Drosophila melanogaster: one gene and its partners. The gene in region 1 interacts genetically with each later gene. Each region holds a gene or a part of one and is shown in the gene's direction. Other genes may lie near its edges.

Region 1 (6,144 bases):
GTGATTTGTATTCCAATTAGGGGTGCTAATCAGTGAGAAAGTGTTCCAAAACAAACGGTTCTTTACGACTTGTAGAACAGGCCAACAGAATTATCTGTTACAGACTTTTTTACCTACTTTTATATCCGTAGATTGAAATACTTATGAATCGTTTGGGGACAGACCTTATTACCATTGTAAAAGATACAGTGACCAACCGCTATTCGGTTTGTTATAAGACAATACAATCAACTATCTACACTATCTATAACAATTAATCTTATCTAAATGGCTACTCGTGCAGCCGTTTAATATACTTAAAGGCTAGATTTCTCAAGTGTTCCCTAGAAATCAGGGGCTATCATGAAATTACAAAATCAAAGAGCTTTGTATATTAATAACTATTTAATCGAAATGAGCTATAATTCAATATACTCTCAGCACGCAAGGGCTATGGACCCGGTGATCAGGATTGGGGATTTGTGGATGTCAGGACTGGCGCCCACATGTTCTACTGGCTGTACTACACCACCGCCAATGTCTCCAGTTACACGGAGCGTCCGCTGGCCATTTGGCTCCAAGGAGGTCCAGGTGCCTCCTCAACGGGATACGGAAACTTTGAGGAGTTGGGTCCCCTGAAGCTCGACGGCAGCTACCGCGACTGGACTTGGGTGAAGGACATGAACGTGATGTTCATCGACAATCCCGTGGGCAGTGGTTTCAGCTACGTGGACGGATCTTCTTACTACACGACCAACAACAAGCAGATCGCCCTGGATCTCGTTGAGCTGATGAAGGGCTTCTACACAAACCACCCGGAATTCAAGACTGTGCCGCTGCACATCTTCTGCGAGAGTTATGGCGGAAAGATGGCCCCGGAGTTCGCTTTGGAGTTGGATTACGCCATCAAGCGCGGTGAGATCGAGAGCAACTTTGTTTCGGTGGCCTTGGGAGATCCCTGGACCTCACCCATAGACTCTGTGCTCTCGTGGGCTCCCTTCCTGCTGCAGTTGGGAATCGTGGATCAGGATGGCCATGACAAGATTGAAGCTTCGGCCCTGAAGACTAAGGACTATGTTGACCGCGAGAAGTGGACACAGGCCACTTTGCAGTGGAGCTCCACCCAGTCAGTGGTGCTGCGCGAGTCCAAGGGAGTGGACTTCTATAACGTGGAGACCCCAACATTGGGTGATCAGTACAGGTTGATGTCCAGAGCTGCCATGACTCCGGAGGGTAAGATCCGTTGCGTAACTTACCGAGCTGATTCTCATCAACCACTTATCCAGAGGTCATGTATCGCACCCTCGTGAAATTCGATGTGGATGAGGACCGCGACAAATTGCTGGAGGATCTAATGCTTGGACCCGTGACCGAGGCCCTCGGAATCAACACCGGAGTGAAATGGGGCGCCCAGAGCGGCACCACCTTCACCAAGCTGATGGGCGATTTCATGAAGCCAGCTGTGGATGTTGGTATGTTTCAACCGTCTGGGTGCTACCTCAAATTATAGCCTTATGACACTTTTAGTGGGTGAACTGCTGAACAACACCACCGTAAAAGTGGGCGTGTTCTCCGGAGGACTGGACCTGATTTGCGCCACTCCGGGAGCCGTCAACTGGATCGAAGCAATGGAATGGTCCGCCAAGCCATCTTACCAGGTCTCTCCGCGCGTGGGAATCACCGTAGATCGAGTTCTCGAGGGTTACGAGAAGACCTATGGCAACTTCAGCATGTTTTGGGTCAACCGGGCTGGTCACATGGTTCCTGCCGATAATCCCGCGGCCATGTCGCACATCCTGCGACACTTCACCAAATTCGGTTAAACAAATTAGCCGGAGAAAAGCGTTAAAATAAAGATTATTTTCGAAATGTATGGACTCGTGGGTTTCCAATTGGTGGTGGTTCGATTAATTTAAATTAAATATTGATTACAATTCGCAAAGACTTTATAGTTATATTTTACAGTGCAGTTAGTTGCAGATCTTGTGAAATCAATTCATTCTTAAACTGAAAACAAAATACATACATACATATGTATGTTCTCATTAATCTTACTCTACTTAAAAAGCGATCGCCTGCAGAGTTGCCACATGGCGAAAGTAACAGTAAAGTTGTCGCATGCGCAGTTGCACCCTCTCAGCTGGTCACACGCACACACACTCTCGCACACGCCGACTTCCCTTCCGTTCTAGTTGCCCACGTTGCGCATGCGAGAGCGAGAGAGGGAGCGAGCAGAGAATGAAAACTGCGCGAGATAACGCGGCAGCTATTTTTGTATGGGTCGTCGTCTAGTTCGCACGGACATCGGAAAATACGCAAGGTGCAGCGCACGGCCAGTTGGAAAATCACAATCAGAAGACAAATCGAGTGCCTAGGAAGAGAAAACGAAAGCGAATAGAGCCAAAGCGCATTGAAAGGCCAAAGAAAAGCGAGAAAAGCAGTGACGAAATGATTTGAATTCGCTTGACAGTCAACGCGCATAATCGTAGCCATCGCACACACACAGCCGCACGGACACACACACACAGGCGGGCGGGTGTGTGAGTGAGAGAGCAGAAAGGGTGCAAGGGGTGGGCGAAATTGAGTGGGCGCAGCAGCAGCAACAAAAACAAACAAGACGAAAACAAACGGCAATTGCCGTGTAAATTGCACGGAAAGCACAAACAATGCGGATACGCGAAAAACGCAAGTTGCAGAGGGAGCTGAGGGTGGAGAAGCGCGTGGAGAGGGAGAAAAAGGAGCACAAGGAGGCCTCCAAGACGCAGGACAACAACAACAAGGCGAAGGTAAGTGGCCACAGTCAAGCCTCGCAAAGTGTTTCCACCCCATTTCACTTCTCAAAGAACACGAGTGTAAATGACTTGATCTAGGCGTTTATTTGTATATAAGCTTGAATGAGTATGAGTATAAAAGCCCCATGTATTCCTTGAAACTTCGTCTTTCTTAACTGTTGCTTTTGTTAACATAACTAAATATGCAAAGACCTTCTGTTGTTTTGTCTACATTATTCATGTTCAGAGGGAGCACTGTATCTCTACATTCATGGTGGCATTACTTTGCACGATTTCAACTGTTACCATAAAACCCGGTAATAACAGCACTTTTTTTCCCTTCGTCGTTAGGCCACTGACACGGAGGTTCTCACACCAGCTCCTGCGCCTGCGCCTGCTCCACCAGCAGCACCCACTTCGACTGCATCACCCACACCCACTAGCACGCACACCCCCAGCCTGCCGGCCGCCGAGAAGGTGGCCTTCGACAATCGCATCAAGCGCAAGAATGTCCTGGCCCTCAACGAAAAGGTTGCTGCTCTGCGGGAATACGATCGGCTGCCGGTTTATAAGCACGTTGGCCGGCTGTTCAACTGCAGCCCAGATCAGATCAAGCGGATCGTGCAGCAGCGCGCTGAGATTCTGAACGCGTGGGATCAGCGAACCCGCAGGAGCCAGGACGCCAAGACCATGGAGACGAAGACCGTCAGGGTCTCGATGTTGGGCAAGGCCGTGTACGATTGGATACGCCGCATGATGTACTACAAGGACTTCAGCATCTCCGACGGACTCATCCAGAAGATGGCGCTGCAGTTCAAGAGCTCCATGAACCTGGCACATTTCTTTCCGCACCAGGAGTGGTGCGACAAGTTCAGACGCACCTACAGCATCCAACACAGCGACACCAGACTGTTGAAGATAGGCTACACGCAGGGCTACTCGGTGCAGATCAAGGACATCGTCAAGGACGTCATGTCGGAAAGCATGCCGGAAAGTGGGCCACGGAACGGCGAGGAGGATGACGAAGAGGTCAGCTTGGGCAGCCCGGTGAGCAGCCATCCCCGCAGCTATGTAGAAGACGAGGATGACGAGGTGGATGTCGACGGTGGCGGTATTAGCGGCGAGGATGATCTGGAGGAGGAGCCTGATGTCAAGCCCTCACTAAGCGAACTAAATTTTGCCAGGGCTCTGAAGCCCTTGCCGCCTCTAGTTAGACTGCCCCTCCAAGCTAACACACCGCCAGGCACCACTCAAAAAGTTCTCCTGGCCACACCCATTGTTCCGACGCAAGCGGGCGGACAGCCCATGACCATGACCATCATACCACTAGCCACGCTCGCTCAGAGCATCACCAAGATTCCTGCCCCACAGCAGCAGGACAAAGGACCGGTGGTACCGCCGCCCAAACTAGAGATCAAGCAGGAAAAGGAAATCAAAGTGGAGCCCAAGGACCCGGAAGAGCTCCTGGCGAAGCAGCCCGAGGCGGAGCTCCAGGAGAACGATGACCGAGCACAAAGGGAAAAGGATCTTGAAATTCCGCCTACAGTGCACATAAAAGTGGAGCCAGAGGCTGAGCTGGAATCGGAACTGGACCAAGACCCAGCGGATCTCGATGAAGACGCGAACAATGGTCGCTCCAGTGTCACCTCGCTGGCCGAGGTTCTGGCGGCCAATGTGGAGGACGAGATGGAGTACATCGAGCAGATGCGGCAGCGAAAGGTGAGTTCGCCTGCGGCAGTTGAAAACTCGCTGAATCCTCGCCAGGGCACCAAACGTCGCTATGAGTCCGCCCAAGACGATAACAACAATGGGGGATCCGGCCAAGAAAGTGGGTCCAGTGTCATCAGCTGCGCCGATGCACGCAAGTACCTAAAGCTACTCGAGGAGTTTGCTCTGTACAAGGAGAACTACCGGCTGATTGAGCTGATCACACGAGCCGATGAAGTGATGCGCGAAATGGATGACAATGTGCCGTAGAATGCTCCAAACAGTGAGCGCCACATGAAGGAGAACGAAGAGGAGGAGGAATAGCTGCAGCCAAAGAGTGTAATCTTTGCAAACTGATGCATCTAGAAGATGCACATCGGTCGGATGCAATCAATCATTAGATCTAAGGTGAACATAATTTGTATTCGAACCAAATAAACGCAATCAAACCAAGTTTCTAGTGAGTAAATTTGATGTGGTTATAAAATATTGTGATGAATGAGCTAATGTCAATTGTCAATTGGTCTGTTGGAACTATTTTATACTATGCTCCCGACTGTAACCCTATTATTTTGACCTGTGTTGTATGTTATAACAGCTACATTTCCTTCCACACATTCTCGCCAGAACAAAAAGTCGGCTAAATATACGCGCTAATTGTTTTTTTTTCGAAGTGCGCATGTCTGCCCTTAGTTGGGCTTCTTCTTCTTTTTTTGCCGGGCGGGAGGTCACCCACACACACACACACAGGCGAGCCAGAAGAGAGAAAGAGACAAAGCGCATGTAAATGAAAATAACGGAACAAAGAGGTCAATCATTGAATTCTATCTTGTTAAAGAGAGAATTTCCCTGATTCAGAGTGTATTTTAAAATTTTCCCTGATCAGTGTGAAATTTTGGAGAGCGAGTTAAAATAAATTCATACTTTGCTGATGATTTCCTTATGCCGACAATCTTGATTGGGGCTAAGATGGGTAAGTGCGCAGGTCTGCCCTTAGTTAAAGTCTGAATATTTGCTGCTTTCCTCTCCCGCACACACGTGCACCTAAATTGCGGGGGAGCTGTAAGTCATTGTTTAATCCATATAATTAAAACTAATACAATAAGAAAATCGGATTCAGCTACGTTTTTGTTTTCAAGCAGTATGTGGGAATCAAATGATTTATTGTGCATTTCCACACGCACACATGCACATGCCCATCGGGTCAGTCGGCTAATCAATCACTCAATCGAGACACATGCACACACACCCGCCCGTTTCGGCTCTACATCAATTCAGTTTGTGATTGTCGCTTGAGGAGAGCATAACGCCGGTCGTCAGGTGGTGGAAATAAGTTTATACATATATGAGCATCCAGATCCAGAGCAACTACAACAATCAGTGGGAGTATGTGAGGTGTTTACCAACACTAGACGCTAGAAGTGGCAACTCTGGCCAACTGTAATCAACAACAGCTGATTGGCTTGAACAACAGAAAAAGTAAATATTTATGTTTATATGCCAATGGATATGGTAATTAAATGTATCTTTCTGAATGCTGTGCTGGCAGATGGCAGCTGCACTGCCAGATCGGTTTAGTGCGGGCAAACGGCAGTTCTGGCGCGAGTTTCTGGCCCTTTATCAGGGAATGCCGGAGCTGTGGGACGTCCACCACCTCAATTACCGGAACAAGGAGCTGCGAAACCGG
Region 2 (5,481 bases), on another chromosome or scaffold:
GCATACTAGGAAATATAATTAAGATGTAGTTATTTTCAGATCAGAATCAGAGAAACGTTTCAAATCAAAATCAACCATATGAACTTGGACAAATATATATTTTGTCTGCGAAATAAACATTTTTTTAGGTGTTCGTAATTACGAAAGCATTTAAATTGGCAACACCTGGGCTGGGGGGAAATTGGCAACGCGACAGCCGAGCGCTGTGCGGGAAAACTGAGCGCGCGGAAAACTGTGTGTATAAACACATCAAATCGCAGCGCAGCGGCAGCAACAACAAACAGGGAAATCTCTTTGAGATACACTACACGCTGCATGGAAAGGGGGGGGGGGCGGTGCGGTGAACTGGGGGATGATGATGCTACAAACAGTTTGTGTACAAAAATAAGTAGAAAAGTCGCTTTTCCTCCCCGCTCGGTAACGTGCGGGGGTGGTTGGCATGGTATCCGGCGTTTCGCGGAAAAACGCGTGAATCGCCGCAAAAGGCAGCAATAAAAACAAAGGCCGCGCACGTGACGCCCAGCGGGGGGTGGTGGGTAGCTTGGAAAAGTGGGTGGCACACCGCCTACTCTTATTATTTACTCACCAACTCCGTATTTGTTGTTCGAAGGTATCCACATTTTGTCGCTGCTGCTTCGCTGCAAGTTAAGCCGAAAAAATCCAACTTAGCCGGCCACTCCTTGCATTTATAATTAATCAACGGTTTTTTGAGGAAACACCCTTTTCATCGGCAAATATCTGCATTTGAATTCGCATTTATAACGGCCAATATTTATCAACAATTTTTCGCAATAGCACACATACACACTCGTACACATCTACGCACTCAATAAAACTTTCGCTTTTGTTGTTGTCTATCTCCTTCTCTTTCTCGCACTTTATCTTGTTTAATAACTACAACTACAAGCAGAAAATACACTTGCTACATTGTTGTTGTCGCTGGAAGGCAACGATCGCGGTTCCAATTGGCAATGATTACCGCTAGGTGGAAGAAAAGGAAGTGGCTGATTGGGAAGTCTGGAAGTGGTGGCTTTGCTTTTGTTGCCTTTTTCACGGACCCGCGCACACACAAACAAGAAAATCAATACGAATTTGGGACTCCCAGCCGAACTTCCAATTGGATTTCTACACTGTGCGCAATTTAAATTGCTTGTCCCTTGGCTTCGCGAATTATTACCGTTGTTTTCTGCTGCACTTGCAACGCGTTTAATTTTCGCTATTTTTTGCGTTTTATTATTTTTCGCGTTCTCCGCTGCGCAGCTTCCCGGGCGCAGCAACAACAAATATCCGTCCGCCGCTCAGCTGTTTGAAGAACAACAACAAAATTCGGGATTCGTCGGCTTATATACGTTGCAGTGTGGCCAGTTGCTAAGCGATGGATTATTTACTATTGCATTTTTGAGGGAATTTTCATTTTAGCGGTGACGGTCACACCGGTATTTATGGTCTAGCTAAGACCCGAACCAATTCGCAGTTACAGTTTTGGAGGCACATTCATTCAATGTATTCAATAATTTAACAAACAAAACAATACCAAATCCGTTTTAATATGCAGTCCATAGCGTTGGTCTGACTCGGCCCCATTAACTCTATCCCATTTTTTTTTAAATTTTTTCTTTTAAATTAACGGTGTACGTATTACTTAACCGAGATATATAATGAATAAAATATAAGCACTAAATCTTTAAGGTTAGAAAATAAATTGCAGTATAAATATATTACGAACGAAGTAAATATTCAAGCGATATATATGATCCCAAGATATCGCTACATTCTCCCATCCCTAGCAGCTATTTCTTGTTGGTTTTTCGAATTCTCGATATAACAGTCACACTGCTCGCCGCGGTTGGTCGCAATTTTTGTTGATAAGCGGACTCGGAATTTCGGCCGCGCTGCGTATTTGTTTTGTCGCGAAACAAGCCAAGAATCCAAATAGTGGCAATATCTGTGGGCAAACAAGTGATAAAGCGGGAAATGTGTCATCTGGTGGGCGAGGAAGCTGCCGAGAAATTGTGTTTTTAGTCAAGGTACGCCAATCGGAGAATCTCTGGGTTCGTGTGTGTGTGGGAGTATAGTCGCTGACTCTTCCAATTGGAATTGTTCTTTTTGGGCCTGACAATAAAACGCAGAATGTTTACTCAATAAATGCGCACCATATACAGCTGGCGAATACAAATGTGTTTAGCTCAACTTGGAGCATGAGATACTCTTTAGTAGTTTCCTGTTCTCCTGCCGATTCCTTTTACAGGAAAAATCAATAAAGGTCCCAATCAGAACGCGACTGCGCCCTAGTGTGGGTGTGCAAAGTGCGTGCATGTGTGTGTCTATGTGTGTGAGTGCTCCTTTATCAGTTGGAAAACGCAGTGTGTTTCGTTTGTTTCGTTGTTGTTGTTTTCGTTTTAGTTTTCCAACAGCTGCAAGTGATTGTGGCACGCCTAATTGATAACTATTTTCGAGCACTTCCATTCAACTTCACCTCAGCATAATTAATCACCGCATTAAGGAAAATACGTTAATATCGGCACGCTCGATTGTCTTACATGCCCACAAACATGGGAGAAAAGGAAAACACAATTCCACACTGCATGCGCTCGTATTTAGTTTCCCTTTTACTTTTCTACAATTTACATAATCATCATCTCGCGGCGGCAAAGACACAAAACAACCGGGCAGCAAAACAAAAGTGGCGTTCATTAAACCAGCTCATAAATGCACACACAGAAATCATAAGTACATACATATGTACATATGTACAGTAGTTAGTATGTAGTTTCATTATTTAATGTTTTTGCGTACATTTCCCTGTGGTTTGATGGCTCGCGGTGTCATCATCTTTACCGCTTTTCCTTCCCCCGCAAATCTTCCATTCTTTTTTCTTTGATAATTCTGCCGCGAATATTTCGTATGCAAAATGTGTGCCAAGCCAAAAAACCGCACAGTGGGTGGGATGGGGCGATGTGGTGGCAAAATTGGTTATTAGCTTAATGGGAATTCACTTATTGGAGAAATATTTTTTATTTTTGCTATTCCCTTCTAATTGTAATTGTAATTGTACCATTTTTAGGGGAGGGTGTGACGAAAACCACCCTTCAGATCATCAATCTGCCAAAAAAAATATTTCCCTCTTTCAAATATTTCAACCTAGTATTCATTTTATCACAACAAATTACACTTTCCAAATTAGGTATTCATATGTCGGTTTAAAATAACTTTTAAGACCTTACCCTCTATAAGGTGATGAAGCTTTATCTTTCAAAATCCAAATCTGATCCACCCATGCTACACAAATGCTTAATTTATATGCATATTACCAAAAATGGAATTGTTCATTCTCATAATTCATTTAATTATGCAAATATTTGGATATACAATTATCAAATAAACACTTTTATTTATTCTTTTACACCTATCAGTTTAAGTAAGTGCTTAGTAAGTCTTACTAAGCAAGTGTTATTCAAGCAATAAGTCACATTTGTTTTTGAAATCTCGTTATCTCTGAAAGAAATAGAAACTGGGTGACTAAAAGTTTGTCAGTCTGATTCACTTTCTATCCGCTAAACTATGGCACTTGTATTTTATTTCAAAGCGTGGGGTTGTTTCTGTTTTCGCTAACTATGCGAACCAATTTAGTTTCCCAATACAGTTGACTCGAAACGCTTGGAGTCGAATTGTGTCCATTGTGCAGGGCTGATTCCCTTGTGCGACTCGCTGGCCGGTTAATGACACGAGGAGTCGTCTCTGGGGGACCGGGTACACGGCTCTTGGCTAGACAAGTGACGCATATTCTCGCATTCTTTGGGGTACTAAAAGTATCTATGTCGTATCTAGATACTTGTGTTTGTCTAATTCGCGGATCGTTGATTCATCGAATCGCTCTACTCTGCTCTGTTCGTCTTTCGAATTCTTGGCCTCGAGAGCACTGATATCGTGACTCTTGCTAAATGTTAATCGGTGGAGCCGAACTGTGTGCCTTATCAAGGCGGTGATAGTGCCGGCTGATCACATATTTTATATATTTGAGGCCTAGGCAAACAATCGATCGGCAATGATGAACGATGGCCACTGTGTCCAGTGCGGCATTCCAATCGAGTGGCTTGGATGGATGGATGCATTTCCGCTGTTACACAAGCGATTTGCATTTCACAGCCACTCAAATTGCGGTTACCACTTTTCGTTCGCCGGCTGTTTTCGCTCTTTACGCTGGTCGCAATTAAAATTTGATTAATTTGCCAATTGGAGCTTGAACAAGTCGACTTGTGCGGAGCCAGAACTGGTACACGACCCGGGTCATTCCCAATCCCAAACTCAATCCACTTGAAGTCTTGAATTGGATTGGGTACACAGTGAAAAAATGCTTGAAAATACAAGGTATCAAATCATTTGTTATATTCCTTTTCATTCGATATCTAAAATTATGCAGTAAATAAATTGTGCCATACTTTAAGACACTTTGTAGATTGATTTAAGAACCCCAAGGATTTATTTGACCCTTGATTAAAGTTGTGTAAATAACTTAATAGTGACCTTACGTTAGTTACGTTATTTTCTCTCTGTGTACATACATATTTATGCACTTCTGTCCGTCCACGCTCAATTTTACGCTACAATAACAGCTGAAAAAAAAGAAGTGCAGCACCAAATTGCATTTGCACATAATTCAACGGTAGCTCAAATGAGAAATATGTCTTGTGCTTATGGAGTGTGTGTAGCAACAACAATGAGAGCCGAGGCAATATAATATATCTGCTGAAAACGCATCTGTATCTTTCTTCATGCACTGGAAATTCCGCAAAGACGACGCCGTGTGCCGCTAACTTTCTAAAAAGATGCAGCGCCAGCTAATCATGATAATGACTTAGCTGCTCATTTGCTATTGTGGCTGCCGCCACCTGAATGTTGGCCGATGATTAAGTTACAGAGCGATAGAGCAGGCAATGCACAGAACCTGCCACAATAGGCGAATTCTTCTGGGATACAACAGCATCCAAGCATCTGCTTAGAAAGTCGATCCTACCGAGCAACCTTATAGATAGATAGGGGTCGGCCAATTAAAAAGTGAAAAGCTATTAAATTGGTTTCCCATTAAGATGAATTTATATATTTCGCTTTTATATTTTATGTGGTGTTCTAAAATAAAACAACAAGAACTACAAGAAACTTGAGGCTTTGGATCATTTCCTTAAAATTTGGCGCAATGACTTCACCGCTTAAGATAGCATTTATCTTGGCTGGATTTTCATATCATAAAGCTGACATACATAGTTTCCATCGATCATAAAGCGAGTCATATGCTCATGATGAGTTAAGTGTAGGCACTAAACTGACGACTGCCAATATTTTCCCATGCTTAACTTGCTGTTTTAACTTTCCTCAGTTAAATAAACTATAATTAAGTTGAGCTTCGAATGAGTGTTAAGAAAAAAGAAATATATACATTCAATATCATCTTTTTCGAGACACACGCCTATGCCTTTTTACATT
Region 3 (5,285 bases), on another chromosome or scaffold:
ACCGATAAGGCCAGTTCGTGTAGAATTCCGGAAGAATTGCCGATAAGGAATAAGTAGGGCCAAGTTTCAGATAAATCCAAAGCCACTATGGGGAATTTGATTCGTTTTTTGGCATAAATGTGTTTTTAAAAATGTTTCAATTGTTGAACACTTTTTTCTTAACGGATTAAGATCAAGGCTTAAGTTATGTAACGCAAATGTAAATTAATCAATGTTAAAAACCACGTGCCATCGATGACCTTCTTTTTTAGTGCTTACGAAAATTAATTGAGTTTCAAAAAATTTTTGATATGTGTGTTAGTCAATGTTTTAGAGTGATTAATTACCTACTTAGAACACATACGGTTAACGCGACTTTTGCGAATGCTACTTATTGTGACTTTTCGCGAAGATTACATTTTTAGGTAGCAATCAGCAATGCGGCCCTGATAGAAGTGTACGAAATGCGACTCTGAAAGATTTTTTTATCAATAAAAATGTTAAGAGACTTAAGTTTGTACCGATTGTGGACAATCTAAAACATGGTGTAACTCCAATACATTGGTGGATTAGATAGAATATATTGATTTAAAAAAAAAATTTTATGGGAGTGGGCGGGGCACCCACTTTGCCAAAATAATTCTAAATTCATCGTATCTTAAATAGTTTACGAGATATTAATTTATGCCAATAAAACATGTTAAATTCCCCATAGTGCAAGCGCACTACCAGCCTCATTTCACAGCGATAAGCAACTTGTGGTTTCTTTTTATATAATATGAATTCTTTGGTTTTTACATACGGGCAATCTGTGTTAAAAAAAAACAATTCCTTTTATCACTATATACATCCTAATAATGAATTTTATTGTGTGAGTGCCGACGACGGACATAAAAACCCAACATTTTTGGTGGCAAGCAGTTAGTCGTCTTCGGTCGTTCTAGTTTACCAATCCTTCAGGATTTCATATCCCTAAACTATTTTTTTGTTTTTTATTTTTTGTTAAATTTCCCGCGTGTGAAATACGAAGTTGATTGTATGTCAGTTTTTCATTTGGCCTGGCTAGCTTACTCCTTTTTAAATATTGCTAGCTGCCTTGTGAAGGGCTTACGTGTAATTGCAGTTCGACTCCCGAATAATAAATTTTTCGACTGTTTAAAATTTACCATTATTTTGGGGTATCCTAAAAGTTTTGTTACATTAATAACTACATCTGATTAATTCGTGGATCAAATGTTGTATATTCTTTGTAGCGTTCATAATATAAACCTTTAAAAAAAGCTACTAATAAACTGTCTCTTATCAGATACGGAGATGGTGGAGTGCTAGAGAGAAATTTAAAAACTCTTCTAAAAAATAACAAACTAAATAAATATGAAACTATTATAAATATGTGAGTGTAATAGAGGACGTGGCAAGCCCAGGGAACAAATTTTCCCTGCATAGAAAGACTAAAATCTTTTTGGCACCAGAAAACTTAAATTTCTTATATCAAAAATTATTATTATATTATTATATTTATGGATTATTATATGCTTACTCAAAAATATACAATCAATTTTTCAACTAATATAAGTCCGCTAGGGGGACTTGAATTTAAACTTAAATAGCACAATTAGTGGGACCGCCAATCCTCGTTTCTCCTATGCATTTTAGAGTGACCGCTTTCCTTCGACTGCGATATGTATTGCGTGTACATTATCGACGTCTGAAAAAATCACGCGTGCTGTATATCGATATTTGTCATGTACTAAATACCATTCCTCGGCTAAATTAAATCGCAAAATTGCGTCGAAACTTGGGGAAAAGTGCTGGGACAGGCAGCTGAAAACTAAGCTAACGGAAAAGCATCGTGAGGGAAAACAGCGAAACTTTGCGAGCGGGAAATTTTGGAGCTACAACCTAGAAACGGCAGTGCGCAAATGTAAAATGCACGGAATATTCGCATGTGCAGTGTGATAATAAATAAACGCCAAAGAAAATTTTCGGCGCAGGGGCAAACACACCAATGCACAATAGCGGCGGCGCGTTCGTGTGCGTGCGCCTTTTTTTTCTTTGTGAGTGTGTATGTGTGTTATCATAAAGGAGCTGGAAAAACAACAAAAATACACAGGTGCGTATGTGGGTGTAAACTAGTGGTAGGGGTCAACAAATTTTCCGATTTTCCACTGTGACAGTCTATAATTTATATGTGTATATAGAGATTTGTAGTGGCATAAGTGAATGCCCAAAAGTTTCGGAGTTTCTGAGCTAACGGTTCTTGCTGGCTTGTGTGTGTGTATTAGGTTATCATATATGTGTGCTGGTGTATTTAGCTTGTGTTACCGTTACATCGGCGCCGTAAATGAAAATCCAACTGCGAGTGTCCGTAACTTAACCATGCGCCTCAGCTAAAAGTTAAAACAAAGACAGGAAACTCCGATAGGAAGGATGATGTGTAAAGTAGGGTTGTAGAATAGAAACGCCAAACAGGTATCACTTCCAATTGTGTGCACGACAGCACACGCATTTCCCATTTGCATTGGAAGGTATGCGTGTTTTTGATGCATCTGTGTCTGTGTGATTCTGACGTTTTTGGGGTTGCGAAAAACACCCAAACCACCCCCTAGAGACGAAAAATTTGTAGATACACACATGGATAAACAGAGCGGGATGGCTAGCTCACAGCAACCTTCATTGGGTTTTTCCAGTTCCAATAGTGAAGGACGCCACTGTTATAGGTTGTATTGGGGTGGGCTATAAAAGTACAGTTCCAATTGGAACAGGGCAACGGCCAGCCTACAATTACAGATTATATTTGTTACATCTTTTAAATCTAAGGAATAAGAGTATTTTATTTATTTTATGGCCGATTTAAACACATGCCTAACAAAAATAGTTTCTACTCGAGATGAGTTTAAGATAGTCAAGAACATTTAATAGCTCAAACAAATATAAAAATTTAGACATAACAAGAAGATTACATTTTTGCTGGTATTTTCCTGTTTCCCCGACTATAAACTCCTACGAACTCTTACTGTTGGTTGTATATGTACATACATATGTATATTTCTGTCACTGCATTGCTATGAACAGTGGTGGTCTTTGCGCCGACTCCACTGCCGCGACAACCTTCGCATGCGTAACTTGCCTCTCGTTTGTATTTTCGCTGTTATCATTTCATTTTTGTAGAGCTGTGCTGTCCAGCACAGAAAAAAGAGTATGGTGGGAAATTAAGAGAGGGAGAGAGAGAAACAGCAGTACCAAGAAAATTCGATTGTGGGAAAGGGAAAGTAAAAAAACACGGTGGGGTCAATTCTTTGCAGAACATAACAAATTGTCTTATCATAATTTGGTAATTATTGCGGCTGTTAGTCTTGCATGCTTAAAATTATAAAAAAGTGTCTTAAGGTATTTTTAATTTTCCTATATATGTATAGATAGAATAAACGATACTTCGATGTAAACGGCAGTAACTTTTTGGAGTTTACGGAAGCTGGGGTTAAAGAATTTAAATATTCAAAAATAATGAAATATTCACGAATACTAAAAATTGCCTTAAGAATACATATAAAACGCGAAAGCACACATACGCTTACATTAAATAGTAAATTGAGAAAACACCGAATAAGAAGAATTTATGATCGGATACAACAAGAGTATAATTTCTTTTCTAATATTTTGATCAAATTGAAACCGAAATTATGATGTCAAAAACGGCTTTTACGAGTATACGCTTTGTGCGAAATATAAAAACAAACTAGGATTCTTTTTCCTCAATTTCCCTGTGACTTTTCGACTTCTCGATGCAATTACAACCGAAATATATTGAAGTGTATATATGTATATATATATATATATACTTATGTATATATATGTACAGATGTTAAAACAACGATGCTACACTTTTTTAAATTATTTTTTTTTTTATTATTCCGTACCGAATAATATACCATGTGCAAGACAAAGAATACTCTTGGAAAAGGTGCAAGCATATAACATTAAAACTAAGAGAATAATTTTCGTAGACACGTATAGACGGACGTGGCTTTGTCGCCTGTGGTGTTGACACTGATCAAGAATAGTATACATCGCAAATGCCTTCTTTACAGTGTTGCTAACTTCCGACACAAAGTTTAGTTGCGCTTACTGCAACCTGTGGGCATCACTGTGTAGGCCTTAAATCTTAAAGGACTCTAAAATGGCCTACTTCTATAATTAGAAAGAAAACCTGAAGACTACATCCAACAAACGCAGAGCTTTTTAATTTGGCAATACTTTAGGTTCCTTCACACAATTTCATCACCCACCTTTTTCAGAATCCGGATAAGAATGTATATATGTATGTGTCTTAGGGGGTGAACATATACTCTCTCTACTCTTTTCCCCTTTCTCTCATCATCAGATGCCTATTTTGATTACAATCAAGGTTTAGAAGTGTGCTCACTTTTGCTGGGCCACTTTTCTCGATATATGTGTGGCACGCGCAAGTGGGTCGTGCTCACATCCCCTATAAGGACGTGGGAGTTGGTGGTGTTCCCACTGCATTGTTTCGCGGGGGTGATTGGGTAGTTCGAGTAGTGCATGCGTGGTAGTTTAAAAAAGATCCAAGGAAAATAAATAAAAACACTGCATAAGATAGTTTCATCGTGAGGTGCACCTCGAGCTGGGCGAGTTTGCGTGTGTATTCAGTGCGGTGAAAGGTGTGGGATTTAAGGGGTTGGTTTTTTCGGAGCCCGAATCTCTCCTTATACATTCCTATTAGGGGTGTTGATAACAGCTCATATATCTGAGCTCTTCTGGTTTAAAGTAAGGGAGCTTTAATGGAGACACAGTAGTGCACGTTTAACCGAAGTTATAAGAACATTCAAGTAATAACATTCATAACACATAAATAAAGTGGTATTTTTAATAAAGCCCCTGGACAGAGAAAGACGGCGAGAATTCCATATACCCATTTCAAGCAGCAATATTGACGCATGGGCGCCGTATTGATTTTTTACTGCGTCGACGTCGGAATCACTCCATGGGGTGGTTTGTCGTTCTTTCTCTTTTCTGCCAGATAGTGCCTTCTCTTGCTATCAGCTAGCACCCTCTCTTTCTGCCGCCGCGTTGCCGTCGTTGGATTTTGAGTTTCTGAGCAAACGCAAATAGAACTTGAGCACAGAGAGCGACTAAAAGCAGTGTTGTGCGGTTCGTTAGCGGCCCTTATCTCGTTCCAAAAATTACTCATTTTATTTTTTGTACTACAAAAAGTGTGTGCCAAAAGTTAAGAGTTGACTTAGGATATAAAAATAACCAAAATTGAACAGAAAATTAACTAGAGA

What was found.
Region 2: of ebd1 (region 1) and Apc, changing one suppresses a phenotype caused by changing the other (phenotypic suppression), as found in Drosophila melanogaster (2 studies listed by BioGRID).
Region 3: of ebd1 (region 1) and ewg, changing one enhances a phenotype caused by changing the other (phenotypic enhancement), as found in Drosophila melanogaster (one study listed by BioGRID).

Annotation. Positions count from the first base shown.
Region 1 is NT_037436.4:681,649-687,792, reverse strand, and holds ebd1 (earthbound 1), read left to right. Parts: upstream 1-2,243; 5' UTR 2,244-2,645; coding exon 2,646-2,765; intron 2,766-3,101; coding exon 3,102-4,727; 3' UTR 4,728-4,908; downstream 4,909-6,144. Other genes in the region: hiro (highroad), read left to right, coding at 421-1,212, 1,266-1,451, 1,507-1,802; CG3386 (uncharacterized protein), read left to right, coding at 6,007-6,144.
Region 2 is NT_033777.3:28,841,106-28,846,586, reverse strand, and holds the start of Apc (APC-like), read left to right. Parts: upstream 1-1,838; 5' UTR 1,839-2,027; intron 2,028-4,303; exon of another isoform or gene 4,304-4,368; intron 4,369-5,481. Other genes in the region: spg (sponge), read right to left, coding at 587-620.
Region 3 is NC_004354.4:275,992-281,276, reverse strand, and holds the start of ewg (erect wing), read left to right. Parts: upstream 1-1,642; 5' UTR 1,643-2,092; intron 2,093-4,899; exon of another isoform or gene 4,900-5,285. UniProt on the Drosophila melanogaster protein: May function as a positive regulator of transcription in developing and differentiated neurons, regulating common aspects of neuronal differentiation and maintenance. Requirement in the CNS may be higher than in the peripheral system.